Arabidopsis thaliana: one gene and its partners. The protein of the gene in region 1 interacts with the protein of each later gene in a pairwise test. Each region holds a gene or a part of one and is shown in the gene's direction. Other genes may lie near its edges.

Evidence for each region. Proteins that work in one complex are often made in the same cells at the same time.
Region 2: the proteins of AT5G58620 (region 1) and GRF4 interact in a two-hybrid assay, tested with the Arabidopsis thaliana proteins (one large-scale study listed by BioGRID).
Region 3: the proteins of AT5G58620 (region 1) and AT1G07050 interact in a two-hybrid assay, tested with the Arabidopsis thaliana proteins (one large-scale study listed by BioGRID).

Annotation. Positions count from the first base shown.
Region 1 is NC_003076.8:23,690,234-23,697,916, forward strand, and holds AT5G58620 (zinc finger (CCCH-type) family protein), read left to right. Parts: upstream 1-3,025; 5' UTR 3,026-3,299; intron 3,300-3,683; 5' UTR 3,684-3,725; coding exon 3,726-5,549; 3' UTR 5,550-5,907; downstream 5,908-7,683. Other genes in the region: AT5G58610 (PHD finger transcription factor), read right to left, coding at 1-523, 861-959; TRM31 (uncharacterized protein), read right to left, coding at 5,908-6,218, 6,295-7,102.
Region 2 is NC_003074.8:19,613,709-19,621,142, reverse strand, and holds GRF4 (growth-regulating factor 4), read left to right. Parts: upstream 1-2,635; 5' UTR 2,636-2,874; coding exon 2,875-3,106; intron 3,107-3,203; coding exon 3,204-3,398; intron 3,399-3,695; coding exon 3,696-3,993; intron 3,994-4,548; coding exon 4,549-4,966; 3' UTR 4,967-5,166; downstream 5,167-7,434. Other genes in the region: AT3G52905 (Polynucleotidyl transferase, ribonuclease H-like superfamily protein), read left to right, coding at 5,672-5,820, 5,945-6,002, 6,417-6,485, 6,578-6,673, 6,768-6,857, 6,951-7,001; AT3G52900 (RAB6-interacting golgin (DUF662)), read right to left, coding at 7,291-7,365. UniProt on the Arabidopsis thaliana protein: Transcription activator that plays a role in the regulation of cell expansion in leaf and cotyledons tissues.
Region 3 is NC_003070.9:2,161,307-2,167,758, reverse strand, and holds AT1G07050 (CCT motif family protein), read left to right. Parts: upstream 1-2,497; 5' UTR 2,498-2,625; coding exon 2,626-3,033; intron 3,034-3,124; coding exon 3,125-3,313; 3' UTR 3,314-3,405; coding exon of another isoform or gene 3,406-3,432; 3' UTR 3,433-4,184; downstream 4,185-6,452. Other genes in the region: DFO (uncharacterized protein), read left to right, coding at 1-88, 412-553, 905-1,104; AT1G07040 (plant/protein), read left to right, coding at 4,724-4,930, 5,130-5,282, 5,373-5,588, 5,663-5,784, 5,874-6,037, 6,115-6,269, 6,436-6,452.

The DNA of each region.
Region 1 (7,683 bases):
TGTCATACCAAAGTTGCTTTACCGAAACCGGGAGATAGTTATATTCCTTATATATCTCAATCAAATCAAGAAACAACCAACTGCCACGACACTCCCACGTCTCTGTAGCCTCATTCCAATCCTGAGTAATACGTAAAGATTGAAGATCAGCATCCAATTCATCACCCAAATCAGGGAAAAACACCCTCCTTTTCTCAGAACCATTCTCGTGGTCAAAGAGCACACCTTCCCACCAAGCATCACTGAAAAACACATCGACGCAGAGCCCATACGCAAGGTTCAGTTTAGCAACATCCAGCTTTGGCGGCACAGGTCTTAAACGTCCACGGAAAGTATCAGAAACATCAGTGCAATCATCCAACCCTTCTACTATATCAGAAACATCAACAGTTTCCACAAGATTACCAGAACCATCATCAGAGAGAATGTTGTCATATCTGATACAACGCCGACGTCGCTTTTTAGCTGAAGTTACAGTTCCTAAATACCAAGAACCCAGAGACCCCTCTTCAAGACTCCTTACCTAAACAAGCAACACAAATACTTTTCCAGGATTAGAAGACGAAGCAACATTAAAAGCAACATATAAGTTTGCACTAAAAATGGAAACTACTAAACTTTTAACATCTCAAAAGCTAAACAAAAAGCTACAGAGAACCAAAAGTGATTATAATGGAGAAACAGACAATGTAGCTTTTACAAAAGTTGAATCCATCAATTACACTCCACGATGAAACTCAAACCTTGAAAAAAATCCGAAATTGCTCAAAAGGTTGAGAAAATGAAAAACCCTATAAACCCTACAATCAAAAAGACCCATGGTGGAAAGGAAATAGTCAGGGGGGAAAACAACAAGCGACCTCTATCTTATCACCGTCGAGAAGCTTTTTCCGGCGGAGATTTCGTCTACCGGTGCTGTTCCAGCCGAATATCGGCTCTTCTTCCTCCGCCGCTGGCATTAAAAGCTTCGAGTGAGAAATTTGGAGGGAAAACAAAAACAAAAAACGCAGTGTTCCGATAGAGCTTGGAGAATATTGAAGAGAAGATTTTTGTGGGTAAGAGAAGAGATTTGGGAGGTACTTGTGTGAGTAGCAGCTTTCTCCCCAAGTAACGCTGTACTAGTCTCTGCAACTTTTTTAGTCTAATCCCAATTAAACAGCGAGATTAATTAAAACTAAAGGACATTGATGTTGTTTTTTGGTTGATACACGCGAAAAGAGTGGAGATTTTTAATTTTGGTCAATTTGCACTATTTCCTAATTAAAAATCCAAAATTTACCCATTTCACCCTCTTATTTCTTTATTTCTTCTACTTTCGTACTATTAAAGCTTGCTCATCACTCTTTGACTTTGACTCTGTTTTTCACTCTTCTCAGATATAGCTCATGAATACGACATTCTTTCTTCGGATTCACCATATGACTTTTACTTGTGAAGATAGTAAGATACTATCTCATTAGTTACCAGTTCTTTTTATTTACGTCCATGAAGAAGAAATTGGCTTCCTTCTTTTAAATCAAGAAGATAGACTAATGGGCCAAACCTAGGTCTTTAATTATGGGCTTTGAAACAGATCATTATCCTCGTATAGCCCCGCATCGGTATTTCTGGCCCAGAAGTGCTTGGCGCCAAGTCGAAGAGAGATAATTCACTGCATTTAGGACCATAAAAGTCAATATGGTCTGTCCAATAAGGCTCTGCCATTTGGGGTTTTGTCGCAGCGACGTCGGCTGATAAAATAGCAAATAGCAATGCTTAGTCGCTTTCAGTTGGTCCCACATGCTTCTTATTCCATTCATTCTAGTCAGATTATGGATTCTTGTGGGTCCTTTTCCTAATTGTACACTTAGACTTTTCTACCTTTTTTCCCTTTTTATTTCGCTTTATATCAAAATTAACCTAACAATATATCTCATCGTGAATACAAGATCTTGACCGTCTGTTTTCAGCATTTTTCATACCATTGTCTTTTGAGTGACTGACTTATAACAAATTTTTAAATATTGATTTGACATTGGGAATCAACAGTGTTTATGTTAAGAAACAGGATATAATTATCTAAAAATTAATAATTTGTCGTGTATATATACAGTATTTGCACTATCATATTAATATTATGACTTTACTTATTTATTAGAACTGTAAATTAGAAGAAGAGAAAATAAATGGCTTTGTGTTATGATGTGAGAGAGAGCCAGTGGAGCAGCTTCGTTAATGCCGCTGCAAAAAGCATTGATGGGTTCGGTTGCATGCATTTGGATTTGGTCTGGTTGCAATACAAAACAGTAGTCGTTTTCAAAAAAATATTATTATACATTTGCAATTTATGACTACTTTTATATAGTAGTACAACATTGTCATGGATCACGAATCACTATCTTTTAATATAATAATACAAGCATAGCGACAGAAAATACAAAGTTTGGTAAGGTTTGTTCGAATTCTTTCCATTACCGAATTTAAATACACATTATTTTAGTCTCTTAGGATATTTGTATTACCTAATCGTCTTTTTGTTGGAATTGTCGACCGAAAAAAACTGAACATAAACGTCAATTTCTCGACTTTATAATAATTATCTCAATTATCTTTAAACTTTATGATAATTAATTTTGATGAATATAACTCAAATCAAAGCTATGACAAAAGAGAGTTGCTATCAAGCGAAACCCACTCGAGACGGTTCCGATTCTGTGTTTTGGTGCATGTTGAGATTATTCTGGGGCGGTGACAAACCAATTAAAAAGCTATGGTTAATTGGTTATATAACTCTAGGTAACAGGCAGTGGTTTTATCTTTAGCTCGTGAATGGAGAAGAAAAGTAAGTAGCTCATTTTAAAAACATGCTGACGATGCATGGTTTCCACGTCATCCCACCAAAAACCGGAAAAACGCGTGAAGCGTGACAAAACCGATGAGCGAAGATCCTCTGTGTGAAGTCTAACGTACACCTTCATTTCCTTCAGACTTTACAAATTAAAATTGAAAGTAAAATAAATAAATAGAAATAAAAAAGACGAGAGAGAAGTAGAAGAAGAATGATGGAGATGGTGGTTTTGTTTTATTATTTAGAGTAAGCTTCTTCATTTTTTTAAAAACTTCTATTATTTTGACCTTAAGAAGAAAGTGACAAGGAGAGGAAGAAGAAGAAAAAAAACATAATTTGAGGAAGAAGAAAAAAAATTCGGATTTGTTTTTTCAATAAATTGACTAATTGAGTACTCGTTTAAAGGAAGTGAAGAGCGGTTTTTTGGTAGTGGTGGTCGAGAAAAGAGAGAGTTTGTCTCTGTGACTCAGAGGTAGAAAATCTTTACTCTTTGTTTCTTTGATTTGATTAGTCACTAATTTAGTTTCAGTTGAATCCATATATGTCGATTTGTTTTAGAGTTTGCAGTTTGTTTTTAATTGTTTTGCTGATTGGAAAATGAGTTAACAATATGATTAGTTTTCGATGTTGCAAAAGTGGTTAATTATGGATCTGTTGGTGTTTATTTTTGGTTTGGTTTGTTTTAAAGTTGGAAACTTTGTATCCCAAACTAACAAACTCTTCCTTCTCTCCTTAGCTTAATCGTTTCTGCAGTTTTTATTTCTGTTTTGTATGATTTTGTTCTATGTATATTACCATTTTAATCAGAAGAAAAAAGATTCATCCTTTTCAATTTGTTCTGCAATTTTTTTTGCAGTGAAATCAATAGAGCGGGAAAAGATTGTTGCTTTTTTTTGCCATGGGAGTTGATGAGCTGTCTCACCTCAAATTCTCTCTTCTGCTAGAATCATCAGCCTGCAATGATTTGTCCGGTTTTAAGTCTCTAGTTGAAGAAGAAGGTCTTGAGAGCATTGATGGCTCTGGTTTGTGGTATGGGAGGAGATTAGGATCAAAGAAGATGGGTTTTGAGGAGAGGACGCCTCTTATGATTGCTGCCTTGTTTGGAAGCAAAGAGGTTGTTGATTACATCATTAGTACTGGTCTTGTTGACGTGAACCGCTCTTGTGGCTCTGATGGTGCCACGGCTCTTCACTGTGCGGTCTCTGGCTTGTCTGCCAATAGCCTTGAGATTGTTACTCTTCTGCTGAAGGGCTCTGCGAATCCGGATTCTTGTGATGCTTATGGTAACAAGCCTGGAGATGTGATTTTCCCTTGTTTGAGTCCGGTTTTTAGCGCGAGGATGAAGGTTTTGGAGCGTTTGTTGAAAGGAAATGATGATTTGAATGAAGTTAATGGGCAAGAAGAAAGCGAGCCAGAGGTTGAGGTTGAGGTTGAGGTTTCGCCTCCTCGGGGGTCTGAGAGGAAGGAGTATCCGGTTGATCCAACGCTTCCTGATATCAAGAACGGTGTATATGGGACGGATGAGTTCCGGATGTATGCTTTCAAGATCAAGCCGTGCTCTAGAGCATACTCTCACGACTGGACGGAATGTCCCTTTGTTCATCCGGGTGAGAACGCAAGGAGGCGTGATCCGAGGAAGTACCATTATAGTTGTGTCCCTTGTCCTGAATTCCGGAAGGGGTCTTGTTCCAGAGGTGATACTTGCGAGTATGCTCATGGTATCTTTGAGTGCTGGCTTCACCCGGCTCAGTACCGGACTCGTCTCTGCAAGGACGAGACGAATTGCTCGAGAAGAGTTTGTTTCTTTGCCCACAAACCCGAGGAGCTGCGTCCTTTGTACCCTTCAACTGGATCAGGTGTTCCGTCCCCGCGGTCTTCCTTCTCATCTTGCAATTCCTCGACCGCTTTCGACATGGGACCGATTAGTCCGCTTCCTATCGGAGCAACAACCACACCTCCTTTGAGTCCTAACGGTGTATCCTCTCCAATAGGTGGAGGAAAAACGTGGATGAACTGGCCTAACATAACCCCTCCTGCATTGCAGCTTCCAGGGAGCAGATTGAAATCTGCATTGAATGCAAGAGAAATCGATTTCTCTGAAGAGATGCAAAGTCTTACTTCTCCAACTACATGGAACAACACGCCAATGTCATCTCCATTCTCCGGAAAGGGCATGAACAGGCTTGCAGGAGGAGCAATGAGCCCGGTGAATAGTCTCAGTGATATGTTTGGGACAGAGGATAATACATCGGGTTTGCAGATCCGACGCAGCGTCATTAACCCGCAGCTGCATTCCAACAGTCTTTCTTCATCACCTGTGGGAGCCAATTCTCTGTTTTCGATGGATTCCTCCGCAGTCTTGGCTTCAAGAGCGGCTGAATTTGCTAAACAGCGAAGCCAAAGCTTCATAGAACGCAACAACGGACTGAATCACCATCCCGCAATCTCTTCCATGACTACAACTTGTTTAAACGATTGGGGCTCATTGGATGGGAAGCTTGACTGGAGCGTCCAAGGAGACGAGCTACAGAAGCTCAGAAAATCCACTTCTTTCCGTCTCAGAGCCGGTGGCATGGAATCAAGACTGCCTAACGAAGGGACTGGGCTCGAAGAGCCAGATGTCTCATGGGTGGAGCCGCTGGTGAAAGAGCCACAGGAGACAAGACTAGCTCCGGTTTGGATGGAGCAATCATACATGGAGACAGAACAGACCGTGGCTTGAATCAAAAGTTTTGAACTTTCATTAACCGTTCCACAAGAAGCAAAGTCAGAAAGATTCCGAGAGGTCGATGCTAATCTATTTCATTTTATTTGTTTAATGCTTTGTTATTTTTCTTTAGAATAAAAAGAAAAAATTCTTAGGGGACAAAAGAGAGTTCGTTTGTCTCTCTCTCTGTCTCCAAAGAAAAACAGAGGTGAAAAAAGGTTTCAAAACCTAAGAAACCTTGAATTACCTCACCTCACTTCCTTGATTCTTTACTATTCACAATGAGTAATCGATTTTTTTTTTTCTTGGTAACACTCTCACGCTGAATATATATGTTTTTTAGTAATAATATAATTGGAATACAGAAATGTATTTACACTTGTGAAGTTAGGGAAAGTGTTGTAATTGTTTCTTCTAAGAGTTGATCTAAGATGTTTGAGACTATATCTTCGCTTATGATTCCTTCTATATCTTCGAGCTTTAAAGCTTTTCCGTTAAACCAATCTGAACCTTCAAGGTCAGATACAGTGAGTTTGCAGATCATGAGCCACATCTCTTGGTAGCCATGAAGTCGGATTTCTTGGTCTTTTGATCTACTTGTCAATGTGATGTGATCTTGTTCAATCGTTTCATTGAGCTTACTAGATTCAAGTTCTGAAGACAACCGTCTTCTTGAAATGTTTCCTGTTACAAGGAAACAAGTATGCTTTAATAACACAAGAAAGGACATTTCAATTTTCAATACTGAAGAATTACCAACCTGGTGATGGAGTTACTCGAACACCAGCATACCGGTCATAATCAAGAACCGAGACAGGGCTCGAATCATCGCAGCTTCCACACTCTTCTTCTTCTTTTGTTGATCTCACTTCACAATTTACTAAATCTTCTTCTTTGGACCAACAACCATTACTTTGGACCCAATTCTCCTTCTCGATGTTCTGTCTCAACTTAGTTTCTTTTCGTTTTCTTCTGCTCTTACGTTTCTCCTTTCTACGCTGCATCAGTTCTCCAATCTCAAGCCTCTCACGTCCTGGTGAAACGTTCATGGCATTGATGTTGTTCTCTTTACCCTCTAGGTGTGTTTGATCCTCTGTTTTGCTCTGGTTCTCTCTAGTATCTCTCCTCTTCTTACAATTTCTAGTTCCCAGCTCCTTATCATTTTTATCCTTCTCGAAACTGAGAATGAAGAAATCATCATCTTCAAGCTCAACATACTCAAGAGTGGACTTAACTCTTCTATGCTTTCCCTGAATCTCATCGTCGTCCCTCTTCAAATGATTCACTGAATGGCTCCTTGAGAGAAATCTGGTTTTGTCGATCACGGGAATTGAGTCCAAACCCATGAGCCTCGCCACAGCTCCTGGCCCATCTCCTCTGCCTCTGAGTGGCTCGGGGATGAAATCACGAGACTTGAAACTGGGTTCAGTAATTAGATCAGATGGGTAGGTAGAAGAGGTGCCGGAACAGAGAAATCTTTGAAGAATGATAGAGATACAGCCGAATGACCGAGTCTTCGAGCCGAGTGAGAGAGAACTAGCCGGAGAAGGCGATGACTTCATCTTCATGGTCTATAGTGTCAGTGTTTCGAAACTAACGGAGAAGTAACGCATAAGGAAAATAACTTTTGTCTTTACTTTTTTTTTTCGGTTGAGTGATGATGGAGAGCAAAACAAAAAGTGTGAACAAACTCAGAGCGGGATCTAGAATTTGAACTAACATTCTCAGTCAAAAACAAAATGTAAATCAGCTTTTTTTGTTGTACTTTTTGTGATTGAGAAAGCAATAGACAACAGTTGAGACGCTGTGCACTGCACGCGTTTTGACAAGTCAATTCCCGGAGAAATTCATGTCGTCCGGTGCCGCTTTTTTATAACAAACCTCTGTCACTTTTGTTCTTTTTAGTTCTTGAACCGAGTCAACAAGAAAAAATAGTTGCGGATCAAATATTTGGGCCGTTTTGATACTTTTCAGTGGGCTTTATGTTACTTCTATTCATTCAAGCGGGGGTGTAAGTGCAATAAAATATAAATACAGGGGTATTTAAGCAAATATTTCAAAATATAAGACGTCAACAACAATGAGCAGGATAATAATATTCCAGCATCCAAACAAGTCTTATTGAACTCTCTCGTTCCGTCTTCTCCGA
Region 2 (7,434 bases), on another chromosome or scaffold:
TTCTTGTATAGTATTGCATATGTTGTATTTTGTCAATCGATATGACTAATGGTTTCAATAACATATATTGTAGCATGTTTACAATAAAGAGTGGGTCAAAATGAAGGTTTTATTATCATCTTCTAATTAACTTGACTTTTTTTGGTTTAGACTTTAGATCATGTGTCTTCTCTGCTTATAATCGAATATCAACTGACTAGGAGAATCAAAATAATGTTGAAACTAAAATATTGGTCAAATTATACATCAAGTCTTACAACATTTTTGTTGGTGTTAAACATAGAGTTAAAGAAGGCCACAAGAATCATTCCAAATTGAATATAATAAGCACATTAAGAAATTAGAGGTCTGCTAAGAGGTTTGCTTATTTCGGTTTTTGTTGGTGTACTGCTAAACGTAGAGTTTAAGAAGCCCATAAGAATCATTCCTAAAGGAATATACGAAGCCCATTAAGAAAATAATTAAGGCACGTGAGGCCTCGCGTGCTAGCGTGACTAGGCTTTTTATTTACGGCCCATCGTAAGTGAACGTAAATGGCATAGTGCGTAAACAGACGGTAACTTTTGGTCAAAAAGTGAAAAGAATATATTTGGTATCTCACATTACATAGTGAGACCCACAGTCTGTGCCCTCGTCGGAAACTAAAGAGAGAGCCTCCTCAGATTATGATTTCGTTGTCCGGCTCCATCTTTACTCCAGCTCGGCTCGGTTCGGATCAGCTCCCGTGATTTTCAAATCTATGTGAGTAGGTGGAGAGTTTGGGCCGGGCCCTCTTCTGATCTCATCTGGTCTTAATCTTAGCACGTGACCCAACCCTTGTCCACTGAATAATACTATATATTTTCTGTCATTTTATTTGGTTTTACGAAACAATTGGAACATGAGCAACATATAAAAATGTATGTAGTATGGTAATTTAAACTAATGCATTTACCATGTATAACCTAATAACCATGTAGGTTAAAGTTTAAACAAGATATATATAAAGTTAGTCTAGATAATCAACATTTGTTTGGTTGTTTTGTTACCATTAGTATTACTGCATCTGCATGTAATCTTTGTTCGTGTTCATGATTGAAAAAAGACATACAATATGTCATTACGTTCACACTTTGCTTTCAGTTTGTTTTCCTTCGATATCATTATCTTTGGTATATGACAAGTTCTGGCCCAAAATATTAGTGCACAGGATCCATTATTACTTTATTAGTTAAGACCCATCATTAGTGCACAAGATCCATTATACTATCAAGTATCAACAAAAAATATTTCTATTTTAGAGGCTAATATTTTGTTTAGGCCATTTGCGAAATATTTTTTCTATTCTAAAAAAAAAAACGTAAAATGTTTATTAAATTCAGTTGCCGCTTTATACTTGTTACAAAGATTTTTGTTTTTCAAAAAGGAAAATTTTACAAAGTCAAAAAGAACCTATGGTATATTTTGAAAACAAAGTTTATTTTGGGTGTTATGTTATGATATTCCTCTTCTTTTTTATTTGGTTCACAAGATTTACAGCAAATGAAGTGTACATAACATTGAACTGTACTTAAGGAATTGAGTTTTTCTTATATTTTTCTTAGTGCAAATATAAATGCCGCCGAAACTGGTGGGAATGAATGAAAAGAAAACTCAAGAAACTCTCTCAATAGTCATCATAGTCTTTGGTTGTGGCTCACTCCTACATGAAATATCGTTATCGTCCTTCTCATATTTATTACTTTATTTCCTCAAAACTACAAAATAATGCTATCGTTTTTTGTTTTGGCACCACCAAATAAAGATACTTTGAAAATCATAAATGTCTTTTGTATTATTCAGCCAAGTGAAGATATCAAATAAATGTTTCTAACTTCATTTTAACAAATGTTTCCAAGTTTACTTGGCCTTTTCTGGTAATAATATGATTCCCTCCTTTCGATGTGTTTAGATATGTACATATACTACTAGCTAGCCATGTCTTTTTAAGATAACACAAAGATAAATGTCCATTTCTACATTTATATAAGGAAGTTATAATTTTTTTTTAATAAATCAAACAAACACAGACGTTACATAATATTTTATGAGTAACAATAATATTGTAACAGATGAGAAAAGTAATGACGGTTACAAATTAAAAGACAAATATGGTTAAACCACTAAAATGGTAAAGTATTTGGAAAACTTACTAACCAAAGAGAGTAAATAGAGCTGAGATTGTATTGTAGCTCTCTGCAAATGGAGACTATTTAGTCAAAACCCAAATGATTAATCATGCTTAGAAGTTAGAATCTCATACATTTGTAACACAATCTCTGAGACAAATGACATCTGTAAGACAAAAATTGAAGGTTACTCTACATCACATTAAATGAATCCTTAATAAAAAAACATAATAACAATATCATAATAGGCATCTCTTTAACCTACTTAAGGAATATTAAAATGAGGTAAAAAAAGGAAGTGATATTTCCAAGGCAGTGAGACATAAACACTGCAGGTTACTATCTCTCCATCTGCATCTTGCAGTGCTTTCTCTCTTTGTTTTCTGACTTACATAATTTTTATATCACATAAAGTAACAATTTATTAAACCTATCAATCAAATATTATATACTAATTTTGTTTATCCTATCAACTGTCTTGTCTCATAGTCTAAACACTTTTCTCTAGCTCTCTCTAACAAAAGAGTGAAGAAGAAAAAGTTTTTTATTTTGGGTATTTACATGACAAGCCAAACAAATAAGACTTTTGTTGTGGTTGTCTTTGCTTATTAAGCCAGACTCTCTAAAAACAAAAGAAGTGAGGGTAAAAAAACTATCCCAAAAGCAACCAACACATTTCTCTGTCTGTCTCTCTTTCTCTCTCTCTCACTCACTCTCTCTTTGTTCCATGGACTTGCAACTGAAACAATGGAGAAGTCAGCAGCAGAATGAGTCAGAAGAACAAGGCTCTGCTGCAACTAAGATATCAAACTTTTTCTTTGATCAGATTCAGTCCCAAACTGCTACTTCTGCTGCTGCGGCTCCTCTTCCTCTCTTTGTCCCTGAACCCACTTCTTCCTCTTCTTTCTCTTGCTTCTCTCCTGACTCTTCTAATTCTTCTTCTTCTTCCAGGTTCCTCAGTAAGTTGTTTTAAAAGGACAAGACTTATTCACTCTAATGTTGAAGTTGTTTTTGCTGATATTTAATCTGACGTTTCTATGTTACATATATATGTAGAGATGGGAAACTTCTTCAGCTGGGCACAGTGGCAAGAACTTGAGCTACAAGCACTGATCTATAGATACATGTTGGCTGGTGCTTCTGTTCCTCAAGAGCTTCTCTTACCTATTAAGAAAAGTCTCCTCCATCAATCTCCTATGCATTTCCTTCACCATCCTCTTCAACATAGTTTTCCTCATCACCAACCTTCTTGTCAGTCTCTCTCTCCTCTCTATTGTTTATGCTTCTCTTATCCTTGAAATAGTCTTTCTTTGTAAAAAAGATTCCCTTTGTTTTGGTGTTGGAGTTATATTTCCAAGATCTAAAATAAGTATAAGGCTGCTCTGCAACCTTGCAAGGAGTTAAAACCCTATGTGTATGATAAGCCTATTTCTAGAAGATCTATTAGCAACATAGATAGAATCAGACAAGTACATTTCGTAACCAATGTCTTGAGTGAGATTTATGTTTGTTGTTACTAATGAACAACACACACTTAATAAAAAACAGGGTATTGGGGAAGAGGAGCAATGGATCCTGAGCCAGGGAGGTGTAAGAGAACTGACGGCAAGAAATGGAGATGTTCAAGGGATGTTGTAGCGGGCCACAAGTATTGTGACCGCCACATTCACCGTGGAAGAAACCGTTCAAGAAAGCCTGTGGAAACCGCCACAACCACCATCACAACGACAGCCACAACAACCGCATCTTCTTTTGTCTTAGGTGAGGAGCTTGGTCATGGACCAAACAACAACCACTTCTTCTCCTCTGGTTCATCTCAACCTCTCCACCTTAGTCATCAACAAAGGTACAATAAAAAAACACAAACACTCTGTTTAATTAAAGTCATTAGTAGATTTGGTTAATTACAAATATTGTTGTTAGGGAAATAGTGATTTCACTGTGAAGTAATGCTGTGAAGAAAGGGGTAATGTTGGCAATAGGGTGACAAGAGAGACTTATCATACATACTTTGTGATAAAAACATTATTCTTTCTTTTGTTGAGAGATAATGATAACAGTTGGATTTGATAGAATCTAATTTTATTTACTAGTTGGGTGAGACTTTTCAATCATAGAAATAGAAAAGAGAGAGAAAGTTAAAGAGATATGTATACTTATGTTGTATTTGAAATAATGACATGGTAGGACCTCAGTGAAAGCTGACCAAACCTGCATAGAAGCCAAACAAAATAAAGCTCTCAGATTCTGCAACCACTTCCTCTTATTAACACACACATTTGACTGATTAAATTATTTCTCTAACCATTTTGTTGAATTGATCAGTCTACTTATTATTGTTCAAATGTTGGATCTTTTTGTTGACAATGTTTATGTTTATGTTTATTCCTCTCTGTCACAGTTGTTCTTCAGAGATGAAACAAGAAAGCAACAACAACAAGAGGCCATATGAAGCTAACAGTGGATTCAGCAATGGAAGATCAGACGATGGTCACATCTTGAGGCATTTCTTTGACGATTGGCCACGATCATCAGACTCTACCTCCAGTCCAATGAGCTCATCCACTTGTCATCTTTCAATCTCCATGCCCGGTAACAACACGTCCTCAGATGTTTCTCTAAAACTTTCCACAGGCAATGAAGAAGAAGAAGAGAACATGAGAAATAACAACAATGAGAGGGAGCAAATGAATTGGTGGAGCAATGGAGGGAATCACCACAACAATATGGGAGGACCATTAGCTGAGGCTTTGAGGTCAGCTTCTTCGACGTCAAGTGTTCTTCATCAGATGGGAATCTCTACTCAAGTTTTTCATTAAAGAAAAGTGTTTGTAATCTTTTTGGTTTGTGCTCTTTGAATCTTTATTTTCTGCAGAAAATAATCTTTGAATTTGTCTTCTTTTGGAATTGTGAGTTCTGCTTTTGGAATTGTTTTGTTCCTTACTCTGCTATTATATTTATGTTTAAAGCTTGACAATTTTGTATAAGCAATGAAACTAATATGATCCTCTGCCTGCAAGTAAGTACAGGAGAGGTGGTTACTTGAGCTTTTCACTTAAGCTAAACCGAATCAATTTTGGGAAACCAGTTAAACCACCTCGAATTAACCGGTTCCCGGTATAATGTAAAACCAAAACCCTGATAATCACCGGCATCGTATAGATTGATTAGACGGTGAAGTCTCGAACTTAACCGGAATAAACCTTTTCCGGTCCATCTCTAATTCACAATCTTGGGGTTTGTGCTTGCTTGCTTCAATCGCGAAGACATTTAGCAGAACCATTTGTCGTTTCCTCTCGCCAGATTCCGTGCTCCGGAGCCAGAAAGTTTCCGCCTTTAAAGTACGTCAAGATTTAAACTTTCTGATTAATTTCTAAAACCCTTTTTCGAAATGTTTGTTTGATGGTCTGATTAAAGTTTTTTTTGTACAATAATTCTCAAATTTATGCAATTGATATGTGAATTTTTAGTCTTGATTTGAACAAGTGTTTTGGAAGTTTGATTCACTTACTTTTGATCAGGAAATGAAGTATGTGAAGCCATTGAGCTTATTGGGTAATGCGCTGAAGACCAAAGTGTCAGTCCCTGGTCGGTTTCTGGGTTTAGATGTTGGTGATAAGTATGTTGGATTAGCTATCTCAGATCCTTCAAATATGGTTGCTTCTCCATTGAGGTACCTTTGATTCAGTGTCTACATGCTACAACATTTGTTTAACAGTAATTTTCAAAAATGCAAATCCTCTCTGATCAATTTTGTCACCATCATCGCTATTGAAAACCTGTTACTTCTCTTGCAGTGTTTTGCTCAGAAAGAAATCAAACATTGACCTGATGGCTACAGATTTCCAGAACCTGGTAGGTGCTATAAGTTTGATCGTTCCTTTACTTTTTAGCTCTAGATTTAAAGGAGACCTTAAACAAATACACAGATTTTAGTTCTTGTTAAGAAATGGAGAAACTATCATTTCTTAGTGTTTTTTAAAACAAAGAAAAAAGGTTGCTAGTGTAGATTAGTGTTTACTAAGATAAGGAATGAAGAAACTATCGTTTGTTTTGGTAATGAAGAAGAAAGTTTGTTAGTGTAGTAGATTAGTGTCTACTTTCACCCTCGGCTTTTTGTGATTACTGCCTTACTGGTGATTAAAGGATCAAGGTTTATTCAGTTAGTGTTTACTGTTAAGTCCTTGACGTAGTAGAGATCTATCAACAAGTAGACTTATGAACTCTGTTTGATTACATCAATCATTTGCCTTTTGTTGTCTTATGCAGGTCAAAGCATTTTCTGTGTCGGGATTAGTCGTTGGTTATCCATTTGGCAAACTGAACAATGTAGAGGATGTAAGTTTTTTTTTTTGTTTCGACTGAATTGTGAAGTACTTTTCCTCTACATTAGCTCATATAACCGAAAAGGATTTTTAAACTTGGAACAGGTTGTCACTGTGAATCTTTTCATTGAGGAACTTCGTAAGACCGAAAAACTCAAGGATGTGAAATACACATATTGGGACGAGCGATTATCATCAAAGGTATATATTTTTCAGATTTAAAGATCTTGTAAGTCACAGTAAAGATAGGTGTTAAGTTTAATATCCCTTGAATCTCATGTAATACTGTCAACAGACCGTTGAACTGATGTTGAAGCCCTTGAATTTGCATCCTGTTCAAGAGAAGACAATGTTGGACAAGTTAGCCGCAGTAGTTATACTTCAGGTAAGGTTACTAATATTCATTTAAAGACCAATGGAATCTGTTCTTGTATTTCCTTCTTGATAATTTTTATGTTTGATTGTTTGTTACTTGCAGGAGTATTTAGATTACGCGAACAGGTATGTAAACACTGAGCCAGCAGAGTAAAAGGAAACGGGTAATGACAAAATAGGGAAGCCGCTAGTTTCGGATATATGAATATAATGATGCTTGATTTGTTTTGACATTATCTATGTGTACAAAGACATCTTGCATCTTTTAAGAAATTCGTTTTTCGCTGCATTCATATCTTTAAACCTTAGCACCATTCATTTATCGTACATCCTGTTACATCGTAGCTCACTTTTAATAGGAGGACCTGGATAGAGTGTAATACCAAAAACTTAAACAAATTTTCACTCTCTTTTAAGGTAAGATCCATGTAGATTGCTTCTCCTCATTGCAAGGTTCCAACAGTCTTGTTGATTTCCTCCAGTTTCTTTATCCTTAATCTTTCACTTTCAGCCAGTAGCTGCCAAAAGAAAATCATCGTCACAAATCACACATTGGATCTTCAGTAGAAATTTTACAAAGCTTTTAA
Region 3 (6,452 bases), on another chromosome or scaffold:
CTGTTTGTGGTTAGGGGTTTCACATTCAGAATGGACCAAATTTGCAGTCCAATCTATGGAAAATGGATTCCCTTCCATTGCAGGAAAGGTAAATTACTCTTCCTTCTGTAGTATATGATCTCGTTGCTTTTGGGAATGGTTGGAGAAATTCACATAAGAGGAATGGTTAGAGATTCTGTACATGTTTCTTGGAAAGTGAGTTTACTTTGTAATTGTGTTAACAAGTTCATGCTTGTATGATCGGAATTGTTGCTTTACCAATTTATTCAATTTTTTGGATACATAGCAATTTGTTATTTGTTACATTTTTCTGTTCCCACATGGAAGTACAGATCAGATAGGTTCTTTGCTTCTTTTGATTTTGACTTGTTCTTACTATGAGGTATGACATTTTGATGAGTTTTTACGTAGGCGTCTGAAAATGCCCTGTTGAGCCTTAAGAAGGATAGTCTTATTGAACCAAAATCAGAAGATAATTCTGACATTTTGGATGCTGCTGAGAAAGTAAGGAGACTAAGGGATTCAGCTGCCTCGTTAACATCTTCACATTCAGGTATTTTCATTTATATCGTGTCTTCTTTAAAGTTTGCTGTTTGTAACAGACTTCTGACTACATTTTGATTGCTTTCTTCGTCTCTATCTAAAGTATTGGTCTTAAATTACTCGTTTTATTCCCACCGTTCAATGCCTTCAATGTAGTGTGACTGTTATGTATGGGAGAATCCATTGAGTTTGATAGAATCTTGGAAATCTACTGGTTGGAAAGATTGATGATTTATAAACTGACTCTACCAACTATTGTTTGGATCCATCATAAAGGATATAAAACTGACTCGACCAATTTTAACAGAGTGTCTGTTAGAATGTATCTGATTGGTCTGAGTAATTTTCGAATCACAAACAGTTCAGGCACAAGGTGCAGGGTACTTGAGAAGCAAGGAACACAGAATACAATCCAGACAGACTCTACCCACTAAAAATCCAGACTGCACAGGTAGCAATCTGTTCAGAGAAGGAATCAAGAAGCGTAACGAAAGAATGTTGCAAGATCTCCGTAGTATTCGGATGAATCGAAATCTAGAACCAGATGTGCGCTGTGTTTGAACTTTGATGCAACTGATGCTACAAACTTTGCTGCTTCATGTTCATTGAAAAACAGGTCAGCTTTCGCTAACATTACAACTTAGATGTTACTGAAGATCATTTTTTTTTCTCATAGAAGAATAGAAGAAGCTTAACCTCATTGATGCCTTTTATGAGCAAAATCCAAATCATTTCACCAGACACATTTCCCATAAAGATTGTTTCTGTTTTAGCTTTTGGTTATCAAAATTCGAAATTTTACCACATCAGTATCACCACCTTCTGAAAAGTTTCCATTCAGTTTTTTTCTTGAAAAGTACGAAAACTAGTTTTTGTTCTTACGTTTGCATTATGAAAATAGCAAAAGGTTAATCAATTTGTATTATTAAACAACTCTATAAATTTGAAAATCAAAATGTTATTTTCAAAATTGTCTAAACTTCAACCGTTCAAAATCTAATAAATAGATTGCCACATAATTTCTCTTTTTAGTAGTATATATCATGTGGCTCATGTCTATGCTATCACAAGTAGACAATTGTTTTCTGAGATATTTTCTTTGTAATTGTTAAACCAAGATATGTCATCATCATCTTCCTATTTTTAGTTTTGGTCAACTTGTGTTTTCTTTTCCTTCTAATCATTTTTGTGATTTACAATGCATATTCAATGTATACAAATCTTGTAATTCAACATGTGTTAATGTGTAATTAATTATAAAATATATAATTAGCGGTATAGATACATTTTCTTTTAAGGATATAAAAAAAAGTTATATACTTTTCTTATTTTATCATGTCTATGTAATATGTGTCAAAGTGTCAAATTTTAATAGCTGTCATTTGCTAATTTTCTACATATTCATCTATTGGTGGAAACATACCTATTATCATTTCCTTCCATCACAACTTTTTTTATCATGTATATAAATATCTAACAGATTTTTCACTCCATCTAATGTGTCGAATAACAAATTCTTACATCAAGAAGAAGAGGAGTGAAAGGCCGAGATACAGATCGAAACATAGATATCACTTACCAATTGATAATTGGGTGACGCCTCTGTTTCAGTTTAGATTTCGGCTTCCCATTCCTCTTCATCAAGATGTAAGAATCTTATTCTCTTCTTAACTTAAGATACTTTGAATACAAGAAAATGAATTCTGAAGAAGAACAGGGAAATTTTATACTGTTATAGCTCTTTCCTAGCCCCAATGACGCTAGGACTCGGCTATTAGTATAAAGATGAAAAAAGTGGCTAAATGGTCTCTGGTTAGAGGCAAAGGACCAGTAAGAGAGGTCCCTCAAATTGGGTCCAAGCTGGACTCTCTAAACCAATCAGCTTGAGATTATTCCATCACTTTTGGGATAAGATGCCACATCGTATCAGTTACATCACATATTAAAGTATTAAAGAAACACCTTGCTCTCTAAATATTGTATTTGTATCTATATATAGTTTTCGTATGGTGACGGATTTACAAAGAAAAAAAAAATATTGGAGTGAAGGGAAAACAAAACAGAGAAAAAGATAAGAGATATATGGATACACAAAGGTTGCCGAAGAAAGAAGAAGAAGAAGAAGAAGATCATCTACTTTCTTCAACCTTCGAGTCCATCAATGGTCACTCTCGAGACCAACACAATCATTCTATAGATGATTTCGAGAGCATTTTCGACATCACCATTGACAATTTAAGCTGCTCTAACGAACTCACGTGGGATTTCTGGGAAGAAGACGAAGATGAAGATGTAGGGGAAGAAGAAAAAAGATCGAGTACTGATCAAGAAGGCTCAAGTTTTGGGTTTTGGGAGAATAAGCCGACGGATTATGAAGACAAAGACTTGGGTCTGAAGCTGAATCTGAACCATCAAGAAGTTATCGATGCTTGGTCTGATCACCAGAAACCTCTGTGGACAGATACTTCAACTCTGGACAATTCCGTTTATGTTAGTTTTTATGAATCTCTTTCTTGTTGTGCAAGTTATGAGTAGTGATTAATCTTGATTAGTCAATATTAATGATTTAGAGTGTATGCAGAGGGGAGAAGTGCCAGTGATAGAGGAGAAGAGAAACATGCGAAGAGAAGCAAGTGTGTTAAGGTACAAAGAGAAAAGACAGAGTAGGCTCTTCTCTAAGAAGATAAGGTACCAAGTCCGAAAACTCAACGCAGATAAACGACCTCGTTTTAAGGTCTCTTTCTTATTCCTTCTTCTTTCTACACTCTAGCCTTTACTCATTTAGTTTCATGACACCAATTAATATTGTGAGGCCTAACTTTATATTTCTCTTGCAATGGAAATCTTTTGAATTATTTGTAGGGTCGGTTCGTGAAAAGAGAGACTTAAAAGGGGCAAAAATATCTGGAGAAAAATATCTCCAACCTTTGTTGTGTCTATTTTCTGTTATTATTATTCGTAGTTTTGAGATATCATTATCGACTTTTACAACTTTTGTCATATTGAAATGAAAATATCTTATTGACATAAAAAAGAAAAGAGATGCAAAAATATCTTTAAGATTACATGAAGAGGAGCGAACGTATATGGCAAGTCTTTGTCGAATTGGTGGGGTCTTAAGGCTAAAAAAGGGTTCACCACATGTGTATGAATCGAAATCTACTCATCCGCTGTCGGGACCAAACTACATATCAACTACCACGTTTTTCTCATATGAATATTCAAAGCTACCGTAAATTTTTATAAAATTACGTCATTAGCATAAGAATGTATGTACATATTAATGACTATTATAAACCCTAAGGCACGGATACCTTATCCTTCCACCACCGAATTTCACGGATTCCATATCCTTTCACCGGACTAGACGAATATGAAGCTAAGATATTAATAGATTGGTGACCAAATTTGAATCTTTTCGGATAAAACTTGTTTGGCATACTTTCCCTTAGAGTCAATTATTCTTCAAACAATGTTTAACTTAAATCTCAAGATCTTATGTAGTTAATGGTAGATATCGTACAGTTTTTTTCGTGTTTGTCTTTTGATCGTGTGTAAAGTGTTGGAAAATCTAACTTTGTATATAAGTTCTACACCTCCAAATTAACGTTCGAGCTTATCGGTATTACTGCTAGTGCTTTCTCAAATTCCTTTTTAGATCATATAGTAGCCCACTAGGAAACCTTACACCAAAACGCCCAAATAATATGAAAAGCCCATCATATTGTCCATCCAAAGTAGGACAATTGCTGAAAAAGCCCAACGAATCAAACCTGCATTGTTACCTTGCACTTGGAAAATGAATTAAACGGCGACGCACCTATGGATGGAGACTAAGTTCACTCATCAAAAATCTAATTTCAACTCTAATTATCGTATTTAAGGTCATTGGAGATTCAACTCTTGTACCTGTAGTTTCTTCTTCTGAAAATCAGCAACAAACTACAAATCATCCAATGATAGAATTTCAGCTTTAATTATCAAACAAATTAAAGATAACCCCATTGATAATATCGCCACGTCTCATCGGATGAAATAGTACTATCTGACACGACACGAATCTCTTATGAGAGAAACAGAAGAGCACGGAATCTCCATAAATCAAAATACATGATCGGAGCTTTCTCACTATCAAAAGCTTTCCGGCGACAAAACCAACCATCTCCTCCTTATCTCCACCATGATCTCACTCCACTCATCAGCCATTAAAGCCTCTCTCTACGGCTCTTTCCCTTCTTCGTTACGATCAACACTCTCTGTTTCCTTCTCTGCTGGATCTCTTATTCGGCTTCCTTCCGTCGGCAAGCGCAATCTCTCCGTCGTCGTTTCCTCTGGAAGAGACTCCTCGATGTCATCAAACAATGTTTCTCGCGGATCGTCTTCAAAGGTTCGTCCTTTTGTATATTTCTTGTATGGTGTATATACCCTCGATTGATTTAGGTCATGAAAGATCTGAAAACTCTGTTCTTGTCAATTGTTGATGTTTTGATTCTTTGGCATGTGGGTGCAATTAATTTGCCTGCTCAAGTTGATAACTTGCCATTATCATCTAATTGTCTCGTCTCTCGTTTTTTACACTTGGCCAGGTTGCTGCTGAATCTTTCTTCAGGAGTGTCTTAGGGCAGATGGAAACTGTTTACCTAAATCGAAACCCGACGCCTAAATCCGTCTTGGAGCTTGTTCGATCTGTTGATGACCAGCAACTTTGCTATGATCATCTCGCTTTCAGAACGTTTGGGGTATAAACATTTTTGGCTGCTTCAAAGTTGTAACCATTTTGACAATGTTAAGTTGCTCATTATTGGAATTTGTCTATGGAAATGTTTTAGATTGGTGGTTATGGGATTGACTCGCTTGCAAGCTTTTTCCTTGACTATGGATATACACCGATGGATGAGCTAAAATTTCCGGCCAAAAAGCTTAGAGCTTTGTGGTTTGCACCTCCTAATGCTTCTGCTGTTCCTGGTGGCAGCGGCGTTAACGGTCCTTTACCGAGAGTTTTTATCTCAGAGCTCCTGGTGGACCAGATGAGTTCACAGACTCAGGTAATAATATACTGTCATTGGTTTTGACCCTAGATTATGTTATGAGCTTTGAAGGCAATTTCTTTTGTTTTCAGGATGTAATCAGAAAATACACGGAAGCATCACCTAATGGGAAAAAGTATGCTGGACTTTCTAGTGCTTTGGGTACTTTAACTTGGGAAAAGCCTCTATCTTCTGAGTTTGAGCAATTGGCTAGGTACATATGATCCTAGGTCTCTTTGTTTCTTTTGCTAGATCAAGCTAGAGTAGTTGACTTAAGGTGTGTTGGGTTAAATTGATTAACAGGGAAAGTGAATACGCAGCATGGACCCTTGTCAATGGATATGCACTTAACCACGTCACGATTTCTGTTCATCGGCTTAAATCTCATCTAAACAAAATCAAGAAGCTCAATCAGTTCCTCGAAGAAAAAGGTATCAAATTGAACTCAGAAGGAGGAGTCCTTAAAGGTATGGTTACTAATCTTTATCACTCAATTTAAAAGAAATTAGATTCTAAGCTAATCTTTGTCTTTCTACTTTTACAGTTAGCCCTGATGGTGGTTTGCAGCAAAGCTCAACTGTAGCAGATTCGATATCTTTCAAGTTCGCTGATGGTGTTACCAAATCTATCCCTTGTTCATACATTGAGTTTGCTGAACGCCTTGTACTTCCGCAGTACCAAAATATACCCGAAAGCGAGGTAAGAAACCACTCTGATTGAATCTTAACTTATTTAGAATCCGGTTACTGTGAATCGATGCGATCTTTTCCTTCCCATTGCCTGGAGAACTCCTCTTAGATACCACTAATGTAAAGATGGTGTACCAACATTGTGGAATGACATTTCTGAAACCTACAAAACGCAGATACAAGAGTCTCATCG